Schizosaccharomyces pombe: one gene and its partner. The protein of the gene in region 2 interacts with the protein of the main gene of each other region in a biochemical or structural test. Each region holds a gene or a part of one and is shown on either strand. Other genes may lie near its edges.

Region 1 (4,615 bases), 1.3 Mb from region 2:
CTAGAGGAAGTTTTAGAAATTATACTTTTTCTATTTGAAGAATTGAGACCATTATTAGGAATCGAACTTGCTACGGATGGCAAGTTGGATGTTGGTATAGTAGGAGCAGAGGAGGTGGCCGATTTTGGAATTGCGGATTGGCGATGACTTGCAAAAGATGAAGAAGGAGTCCTAAGTGAGTTTGGGTTAGAAGTCGTAGCCATGCTAACCCGAGAACGCACATTCATGGATGAAGACCTTGGGAACATGGGAAGGCCTAGAAGGTACATATGAAGATGCGGCTCTTCTTGCAGGTCGGACCTTTGGATCTTTAGACCTTAATAACCTTTGCTGCTGTTGTTTTTGAAGAGCTATAGCTTCCTCTTTTTGCCTTCGTTCTTGTTCAAGTCGTTCTTGTTCTTGTTGTAATTCGATCTTTCTCTGCTCTTCGGCTTGTATTTGAAGCATTTTTTGATGTTGCAATCTTTCTAATTCTTCATTATCAAAAGACAAACCTTTCCAGTCGCTATTTAGTATTAGATTCTGAGTATGCTCCGTTTGGCTTAGAACCGATGACCATAATTGTATTAGACGATTCGAGTTGTTAATGGAGGTTTCGAATGACTTTATTTTTTCTTTAGAAGCAGAAAGACCATCCGTAAGCTTTTCTATAGTGTAATTAAAGCTCCTTAAAATCTGTAGTTCTTGTTGCAATTCAGATGTCATGTTCAAAGAAAAAGATAGACTATCCTATTAACTGAAGACAAGAAAAAATCACTAAAAAATATATAATTAACTCAAGTATAGAAAATAATTTCTTGTGTGCAATTTAAGCCTAACAAAGTATTCGATTGAAGATGTGCGAATTGTTTAAAGAAATTCAGTACAAAGAGTAGACGAAGGTTGTTTTTATTTTTTTTTACAAAAAATATAATAAATTAAATGAAACAGTTTGAAAAGAAAATTGCAGCGACTCCAGTTGTCCCTTAGAATAAGAACGATAGGAAATATGAGGCAGAGGTTAGTGTTTACACAGGCAGAGAAGAAGAAATGAATTGAATAAAGAGTTAGTTATGTGCATTACATTTTGATAATAGTTTTTGAAGAGGAAACATATTTTTAATTTTTAATTTAACGAACCTATCATTTTAATTGTTTCATTTGGCAAATGCATTGATACTATTTATTGTAAACAATAGGTAATGAAGCGTAAAATAAGTCATAACATGAACATTCATTTATGAATATTTTAATTATTGACCAATATGTTTATAATATTTTTTGATAAATTATGTTAGTAGCGTATTCCTTAAACACATAAATAAACATTGTCACGATTTAATTTTTAACAATTGTGATATATTTTGGAAATACTTAGCGATGTAGCAACCGTGTATTTACTTTGCATATTGCTGTTCCCATTTCGATTTGAAAATGGTGTTTGAAAGATAGTCGATTCTTCATAAATCCATTTTTCCTGCATTTGAGCTAAGGTAATAAATATTGCTTATACCATCAATTTGCTAATAAGGAACAATCTTAACGAAATATCCCTTGAATTAGTTTTGATAGTACTTGCTTTTAAATAACAATAAGAGACTTATTTCATTTACCATACTCGCGAAGTTTCTTCTTTATTAGAACTTCAAATGTAGTTTACTTTTATTTACGGTTTTGCAGTCATATATTTTTATTTTCGAACTGGAATATTTCTATGATGCTTAAAATTGTTAGTAAATTTTTTAGATTTTTGCTAAAGAGAACAGAAAATCGATTCTCATTTAAAATCTAACTACACATTTATGCAAAAATTGTACTTGATCAAAGTAATTAATTTAGCGTACTGCGTTACAGCCATCTAATAGTAATGGTTACCACGAAATGAGCAAATAACCAGTTAACCAGAACGTCAAACATACAGTTCTACTACTACATACATAAGCTTTGGGTTCCTTGACAGCGGTTGTTGCAAACTGAATTTTTTTGTTTTGGATTATATATAATATACAATCAATTGATCTTGTTTAGTCTTGATTCGTGTGTGTTTACTTGAGTGCTGCAGTAATATATTACTAAATTGTACGAATTTGGTCAAAGAGAATCCGCTTTTTTATCAGTTTTTTATTTTTAAAATTTAATTTTGAATTATACTCTTTACAAGGAACGGTAGCATCTTTATAAGAAATCGAGCATTCAATTTCTATGTGAAAAAGTTGAATTCGTCTAAGCAAACAACCAACTAGTTTTTAAATTCTAACATTAGAAAGAATATTTTTCCTTGTTAATTATTCTATTTACAATTTTAAAGTTGGCACATATCTTTTTTTGATTGGTTGATTCTTTGATATTTTAGCTGCACTTACTTCTTGGTATGAAGTGAAATTTTGCTTTTTAAAATAGACATTTTCCCATTCCCGTTTTCTAAAAGATTCCTTTTTTTTGTTTACTCCGAAAATTTCAATACCTTTCTTACAAGCTACAATCCCATTTTGTTCCTTCCTTTTGATATATTGAAGCCATTTCAATTGTTTCTATATTATTTCAAACAATTTTACAAATATTGTTTAAATTGTATAATTATCAAAGCGCAGTCGCTAGCTTGGTGGGTATTAAATTGTTACCTTTTCGTTTGCTACAGGTAACTTGTGAACATTTCTGGTGCTGAATTTTCCTACACCCAAAAACCATTGAAAAATACATTTTTTAAATCATATCGGAAAGCTTGAATACACGCTCTTCTGATAATCCGCTCGATACATAAAGGATTTCTTCTTGCATTTACCTGGTTTTTGGATTGTCAGTTCGCTATGGAACCTTCAACACCACCTATGCGAGGGTTGTGTACTCCATCTACCCCAGAGTCTCCTGGGAGTTTTAAAGGAGTCATCGATGCTTCGTTAGAAGGTAATTCTTCTATTATGATAGATGAAATCCCTGAAAGCGATTTACCAGCACCTCAAGTTAGCACATTTCCACCTACACCTGCTAAAACTCCCAAAAAGCAATTACTACCAAATTTAATGCTACAAGATCGGAGTAATTCTTTAGAAAGATGTATGGAAGAAGACAGAGAACACAATCCTTTTCTCAGTTCATCTGATAACCAGCTTTTGTCAAGAAAGAAGAGAAAGCCTACTCCTCCTCCTTCTGATGGTTTGTACTATGTTTTTCGGGGGAAAAGAATCAAGAAATCCTTCAGGCCTGGAACTGATTTATCTACTTTTAAGCCCAAACTCTTGTTTGCTGACTCGGCGCCTTCTTCTAGTTCAGATAACCCAACATCCTCTGTAGACCTTAATGACTATTCTCAAATTGGCATTCTCCCTCCAAACCTGAATTCTATTGGGAATAAAATGTTCTCGTTAAAATCAAGGGTTCCATCTTCCTCGTCAGGTTCCTTTGTTGCTCCCCCACCGCAAATGCGTTTACCTGCGTATTCATCACCACAAAAATCACGATCTAATACAAAAGATGAAAACAGGCACAATTTATTACGATAACTTTTTTTCGCATTTTGTAATTGTGTTTGATACCGTTTATATAAATGCCCAATCACGAAATACTCTTCTGCCTTATTCATGATAATCGTTCGTTTGAACTTTTGGTAGTAGATCAGAACCTCCTATTCTCTATTCTTGATGAAAATGCATTTTGACAAACGCTGGTCGTTAGTCATTCATGGTAATATCACCACAATATCACCACGATTTTCTTAATTGAGTATCTATAATTACATTTCCCCATCTTTCCATTTGTGCCTATTCATATTCCATTTGGCAACTTAATTTTTTATCGTCCTCCCGTGTCTGCCCTGAGCCATTGCAACTTTTTTTAGCAACCTTTTACGGCATGCTTTGAAATATTATACGTTTAACTTATTTCCTAATTTCATCCACTGAGCTTTTACTTTAAGACTTATACTAATATTACATGGCTTTCACAATTTTCTTTTCTTTGTTCAGAGAGTGAATATATTCTGAAATGTTGTATTTATCGATTAGTTAATAATGCTATTCGATTTCTAAATTTTTTGCTGGTTTGGAAACTATAGTCTGTTATTCTCAATAACTAGTTTTATATTCAATTGTTTTATCCCAGTAATAAAAAGGTATTTTTATACCGCATATACAATACTATTCTAGGCTTCTTAGACAGTTATACACATTACGGTATTGCTGTTACATTGAGTTAATTTGTGGTTTGGTGATATAGTGAAGTTTACTAGCTGGTACTGAAATCCTACAAATGGATAACAAAACTGGTTCTAAGCGTATGAAAGGAGTCTTTGGGTAAAATTATAGTGTAATATCGTTTCGTTCATTGAAGTAATAATTAGGCCTAACCGACTCTACTTGACTAACATTTTTTCTTCACACCATGAAGCATGATGAATAATGTATTTATTTATGTTACCTGAGCGGTAAGATGATTTGTTTACATAATGTCACTTTTATTTACATTTGCACTGCAAAATGACAACAAGGAAGCCACTTACATCACAGTGAAGTTCGTTAAAAATTCGTAACTCTTATATTTACATGGTACCCGTGTTTCTCCCCTCTACCATACTGAGCATATAAAATAACACAAAAGTTAGTGAATCATTTTGTGGCATATCCGAACACTCCTTAGCTTT
Region 2 (4,705 bases):
CTTGAAAAGATTATTTCAGCCGATGGATTAATGAAATAAATAGCAATTTTCCATGCGGTGAAAAAGGAAATCAAATAATATACCCGCTTGTATTCAAGGTTTTTATAAATCAAATCAGTGGAATATTCACCATCATCAGAAAAAGTTTTTTTAAATAATGAATGACATTCACAAGACACAGGATTCACCGCCGTACCCTTTTTATCCATAAAATTAGAATCATATCATTTTGCTCTTCATGATTTAGTTTATGTTGTTAGAAGGGGGTTTCCAGCGTGGTGATTCAATTTTTATTCTAAGCTTTATAAAGTTTTGTTCGGCGGTTTTCAAAGTAATGTTTAAGAGTGATGAACTTATCCGCTTCTTCACTTCTTTGAGACTTTCAATTACCTGTATAATATCTGTAGATTTGTAGAAACAGCTAAGTATCGCTATATGAATATTGATTACTTACATTGCTCAAGTAGTTTCGTTATAATGTAATGTAATAGATAACAAATTTAAAAAAAAACTGCCTATAAGAATCACTGTATAGCTGAATATTAGTTTAAGAAATTAAGCATACTAGTGGCACCTTTCACCACGAATAGCTCCATGACTGCTGCTAGCATCAAACTTCTCCAACCTTCTTATCGATCTTAACCACTATAATTATCTCACCATCATACGCGGAATTTCATTTATTTGATCAATTGCTTTTTCATTTGCAAAAGGCCAACTATCTAGAAGTATTCTTTCTCTTTCCATTTGTTGTTACCATTACTTCTTGCGTACAGAGCAGATAGAAGTATTAGAATTCATTTATTTTTTGTTAACTGTCTTTTTTACCAAAAAAATTATTTTTTAAGATATTCCCTTCATTCCAAACTTTTCTCTCAATTTATACTCAACATATTTCTTAAATTCCATTATGGCTTATCAAACTCGTGAAGGTCTCCCTAATGGCTGGGTCGCTCAGTGGGATGAACGCTACAAGTGTTACTTTTATGTTAATGAAAGTGATCCCAAAGCAAAGCCGCAATGGGAATGTCCGGTCCGTGGTTTAACTATTCCACCACCTCCTTCGGTGGACCACTCTGCTCCCCCAAGTGGACCGCCTCCTTCTTATTCCAACTCAGCCGCTCCTGCCACTCCTGCCGCTTCTGCTTCTTCTGCTGCTCCTGCTCCTGCTCCCGCAGCTTCCCAAAACAGAGCATACGGGGCCGCTCCACAGCCTTATCCCCCTCAGGGCGGTTATCCTCAACAACCATATTATTATCCCAATCAACCAAATTATTACCCAGCCCAGCCTGCCTACGCACAACCCGTATATGCCCAGCCTGCTACTTCTGCAAGAAGAGGTCGTAGCGGAGTCTTGTCTAATCCCATGGTGACTGGTTTGGGCGGACTTCTTGTCGGTGGTTTGGCTATGCATGAAATGGACGAAGCTTTTGATCGTCCTGAAGAAGTTGTTTATGTAGATGATAATAACTACAACAATTTTGATGATTATGGAGGTAATGACTTTGGCAATGATTTCTTTTAAGGGAATTTCATGCATCGATTATGTTATTGAGTTCAACTGCATTATTGACAAGTGTTTCTCGCAAGAAAAATTACATTAGATGAACGATTAATACATATTTTACTGCAGAAATATAAGATCATTCATTTTACACCTGTGTGTACACGGGGATAGTTCATTAGTGTGGTTAACTCGAAAGTCTTCGTCGTAAATGAATATTGACTTATTCAATGCTGTTCCCTAGTAATAGTTATTATTTATATTAACTTTTTTTTACCTTTTCTCCTTCGCAATGCTTTTTATCTATCTGGATTTTTTTTATGACTCTGTAACTTCTGACATACACACGGATTCTGCTTGTTTTTATAAGTGTGATATTTATTTATTTATTTTTCTTTTAAATAAAAAAAAATGTTTTGTTTTCTTTGCGAGCAGGTGGAGAAGTCTTTGACAGTTTTTACAATTTCACATTTATCTTAAAGGGTTAGTCTATAAATATTAGACAACTCAGGATAATCCAACCTACCGTAAATTTATTTATTTAATAATAGCACTTTTTTGACTGATATTCACATTTACAATTTTTTAATTCACGGTTATACAATGTCTTCAGATGATGTTTTGATTATGTAGTTCTTCATATCTGATCACCTAGTATAAATTGCAAGTAATGAGTTATGTCCTACTTTTCTAATTTCATTTTTGATAACAGTATAATTCATAAGTTAGAAACATGAAGCGCTAGCCCTAAGTTCGGTTTGATAATAGTCCTCTGCGTTTCCACTAGTCTATCGCTAGTTGAGCAAGCTTACCCACAGCACAACACAACATAAGCAAATTTGTATAAACGTATTTTGAGATCATTCTCGCATCTCTATTAACAGATATTAGAAAAATTATTTTCCAAAAAACATACCGCTAGGTTGCTTCTTTTAGTGGTTTGCAATGGAGAATTATCAAAAAGTCGAAAAAATTGGGGAAGGTAGGTGTAACTGAGGAAGCTATGACTTATCCAATTTCTTTTCTGTCACGTATACTGACTAATGCTAGGAACCTATGGCGTTGTTTATAAAGCAAGACATAAATTGTCAGGGCGTATTGTGGCCATGAAAAAAATTCGCCTTGAAGATGAATCTGAGGGAGTTCCTAGCACAGCTATTCGTGAAATTTCGCTTCTTAAAGAAGTGAATGATGAGAATAATCGATCAAATTGTGTTCGGTAAGTTTTTACTTGACGGATGCATGGGAAATGTTTACATTGATAAAACTTTGTTTCTAACCCTTTTTTAAGACTTTTGGATATTTTACATGCTGAATCAAAGTTGTATCTTGTTTTTGAGTTTTTAGACATGGATTTGAAAAAATACATGGACCGAATTTCAGAAACTGGGGCCACTAGTTTAGATCCGAGACTTGTTCAAAAGTTTACCTACCAGCTAGTGAACGGTGTAAATTTTTGCCATTCTAGAAGAATCATTCATCGCGATTTAAAACCACAAAATTTGTTGATAGACAAAGAAGGCAATTTGAAGCTAGCAGATTTTGGACTTGCGAGGTCATTTGGTGTCCCTTTGCGGAACTATACGCATGAGGTATATTTTTTTTCTTACTTGGCTGTATGACTTTATTCCCAAAAAATTTGGAATATTGACTGACGGTCTTTCAGCATTAATTTGTGTCGCTAACCGTTTAGATTGTCACTTTATGGTATCGTGCTCCTGAAGTATTGTTGGGATCAAGACATTATTCCACTGGGGTTGATATTTGGAGCGTTGGATGTATTTTTGCTGAAATGATTCGACGAAGTCCATTATTTCCCGGTGACTCTGAGATCGACGAAATTTTTAAAATTTTTCAAGTTTTAGGTACCCCAAACGAAGAAGTATGGCCTGGAGTCACGCTTTTGCAAGATTACAAATCCACATTTCCTCGTTGGAAACGCATGGATTTGCATAAAGTTGTTCCCAATGGTGAAGAGGACGCTATTGAATTACTCTCTGTAAGATTTTGCATTACCATCTATTTAAGACTAATTACTAACCATTTTGTCAAGGCTATGCTTGTTTATGACCCTGCCCATCGCATTAGTGCAAAACGAGCTTTGCAACAAAATTATCTTCGTGATTTTCATTAATTTTCGTCTCTTATTATTAAACCTTTAAAAACGCTATCCTTGACTTTATCTGTACTTTGCTGTGTTTCTTGATATCAGTTATTAACAAATTACCTCAATTTATAAACCGAAAATATTTATTTTCCTCCTTCTTTTTCGAATCTTGGCGTTTGTTCAAAACATACTCAAACAATGGGCAATTTACAGGGCATATAAAAAACACTGACATATTGAGCTTGCCATTAAATGTGAATTTAGTAACGTTTTTAGTTCTGTTCCCTTTACTGTGTCTTTATTGTAAATATCACTTTAAATGCTTTCTTTGACTGTCAAGGGAATTATCGCCGTTCTTTTTACAAAAGCAGGCTCTGAGTGTTTAAATCTATTTTTCTTTCATTCCTGATAAAACTGAAGCCTTTTAATCTCCCTTTTTCTTACTTACTCTTATCCTTTGTTTTCCAGTTTTTTAATCCTCATTTATACTATATTCTATTTACATATTTTTTATACTTAAGTATTAAAAAAGGTGTATATTCTTTAGACTTTAGTTTTTAGTGTTCGTGTTTGCTCTGAACATATAAACTGCACTTACTTAGATGTATTTAGTATCAAAGAGGTGAATTAATTTTACGAGCAAACGGTAAAAGAACGTAAATGTGCTTATTGTTCAACAGACATACGTGTTTATTAAATTTTACAAGATGAAAGTGATATGAATATTTGTATTTCACACTATATTGAACGCTAAGCGAGCATCATTTACAGCTTAAGTCTATACCTAGAGCGTTTGGAAAAATTCAAAATTAATAAATCGTATAAACAAGAAGTAAAACTAAACAGCGCAGGAGAAACCACTAGATGCATGGATACATACTAACGATTGAACCTGGCAAAGTGTAATTGGACAGAATGAAACGAGACATATTGGAAATATAACGTCTAAAGATGAAACGCAGGACAAATTTGTTTGGAGGCTTGAGAGGAATGAAAAGGGAGCAAATACATGGAGGGAAGAGCATTTCCATTAAACTGCGCATGCACATTTTACTTTCCATGCTTTAATCATAGAAAAAGGTAACCAATTAAAT

The links.
Region 1: of the proteins of cdc2 (region 2) and rum1, one has a biochemical effect on the other in vitro, tested with the Schizosaccharomyces pombe proteins (4 studies listed by BioGRID, with this or other methods).

The regions. Positions count from the first base shown.
Region 1 is NC_003423.3:2,797,803-2,802,417, forward strand, and holds rum1 (CDK inhibitor Rum1), read left to right. Parts: upstream 1-1,874; 5' UTR 1,875-2,786; coding exon 2,787-3,479; 3' UTR 3,480-4,115; downstream 4,116-4,615. UniProt on the Schizosaccharomyces pombe protein: Regulator of cell cycle G1 phase progression. Ensures the correct sequence of S phase and mitosis in the cell by acting as an inhibitor of the cdc2 mitotic kinase. Probably interacts with cdc2 to inhibit its action until the cell mass for Start is reached.
Region 2 is NC_003423.3:1,497,891-1,502,595, forward strand, and holds cdc2 (cyclin-dependent protein kinase Cdk1/Cdc2), read left to right. Parts: upstream 1-2,317; 5' UTR 2,318-2,353; exon of another isoform or gene 2,354-2,395; 5' UTR 2,396-2,449; coding exon 2,450-2,486; exon of another isoform or gene 2,487-2,554; coding exon 2,555-2,723; exon of another isoform or gene 2,724-2,795; coding exon 2,796-3,096; intron 3,097-3,197; coding exon 3,198-3,503; intron 3,504-3,557; coding exon 3,558-3,638; 3' UTR 3,639-4,205; downstream 4,206-4,705. Other genes in the region: protein wwm1, read left to right, coding at 911-1,525.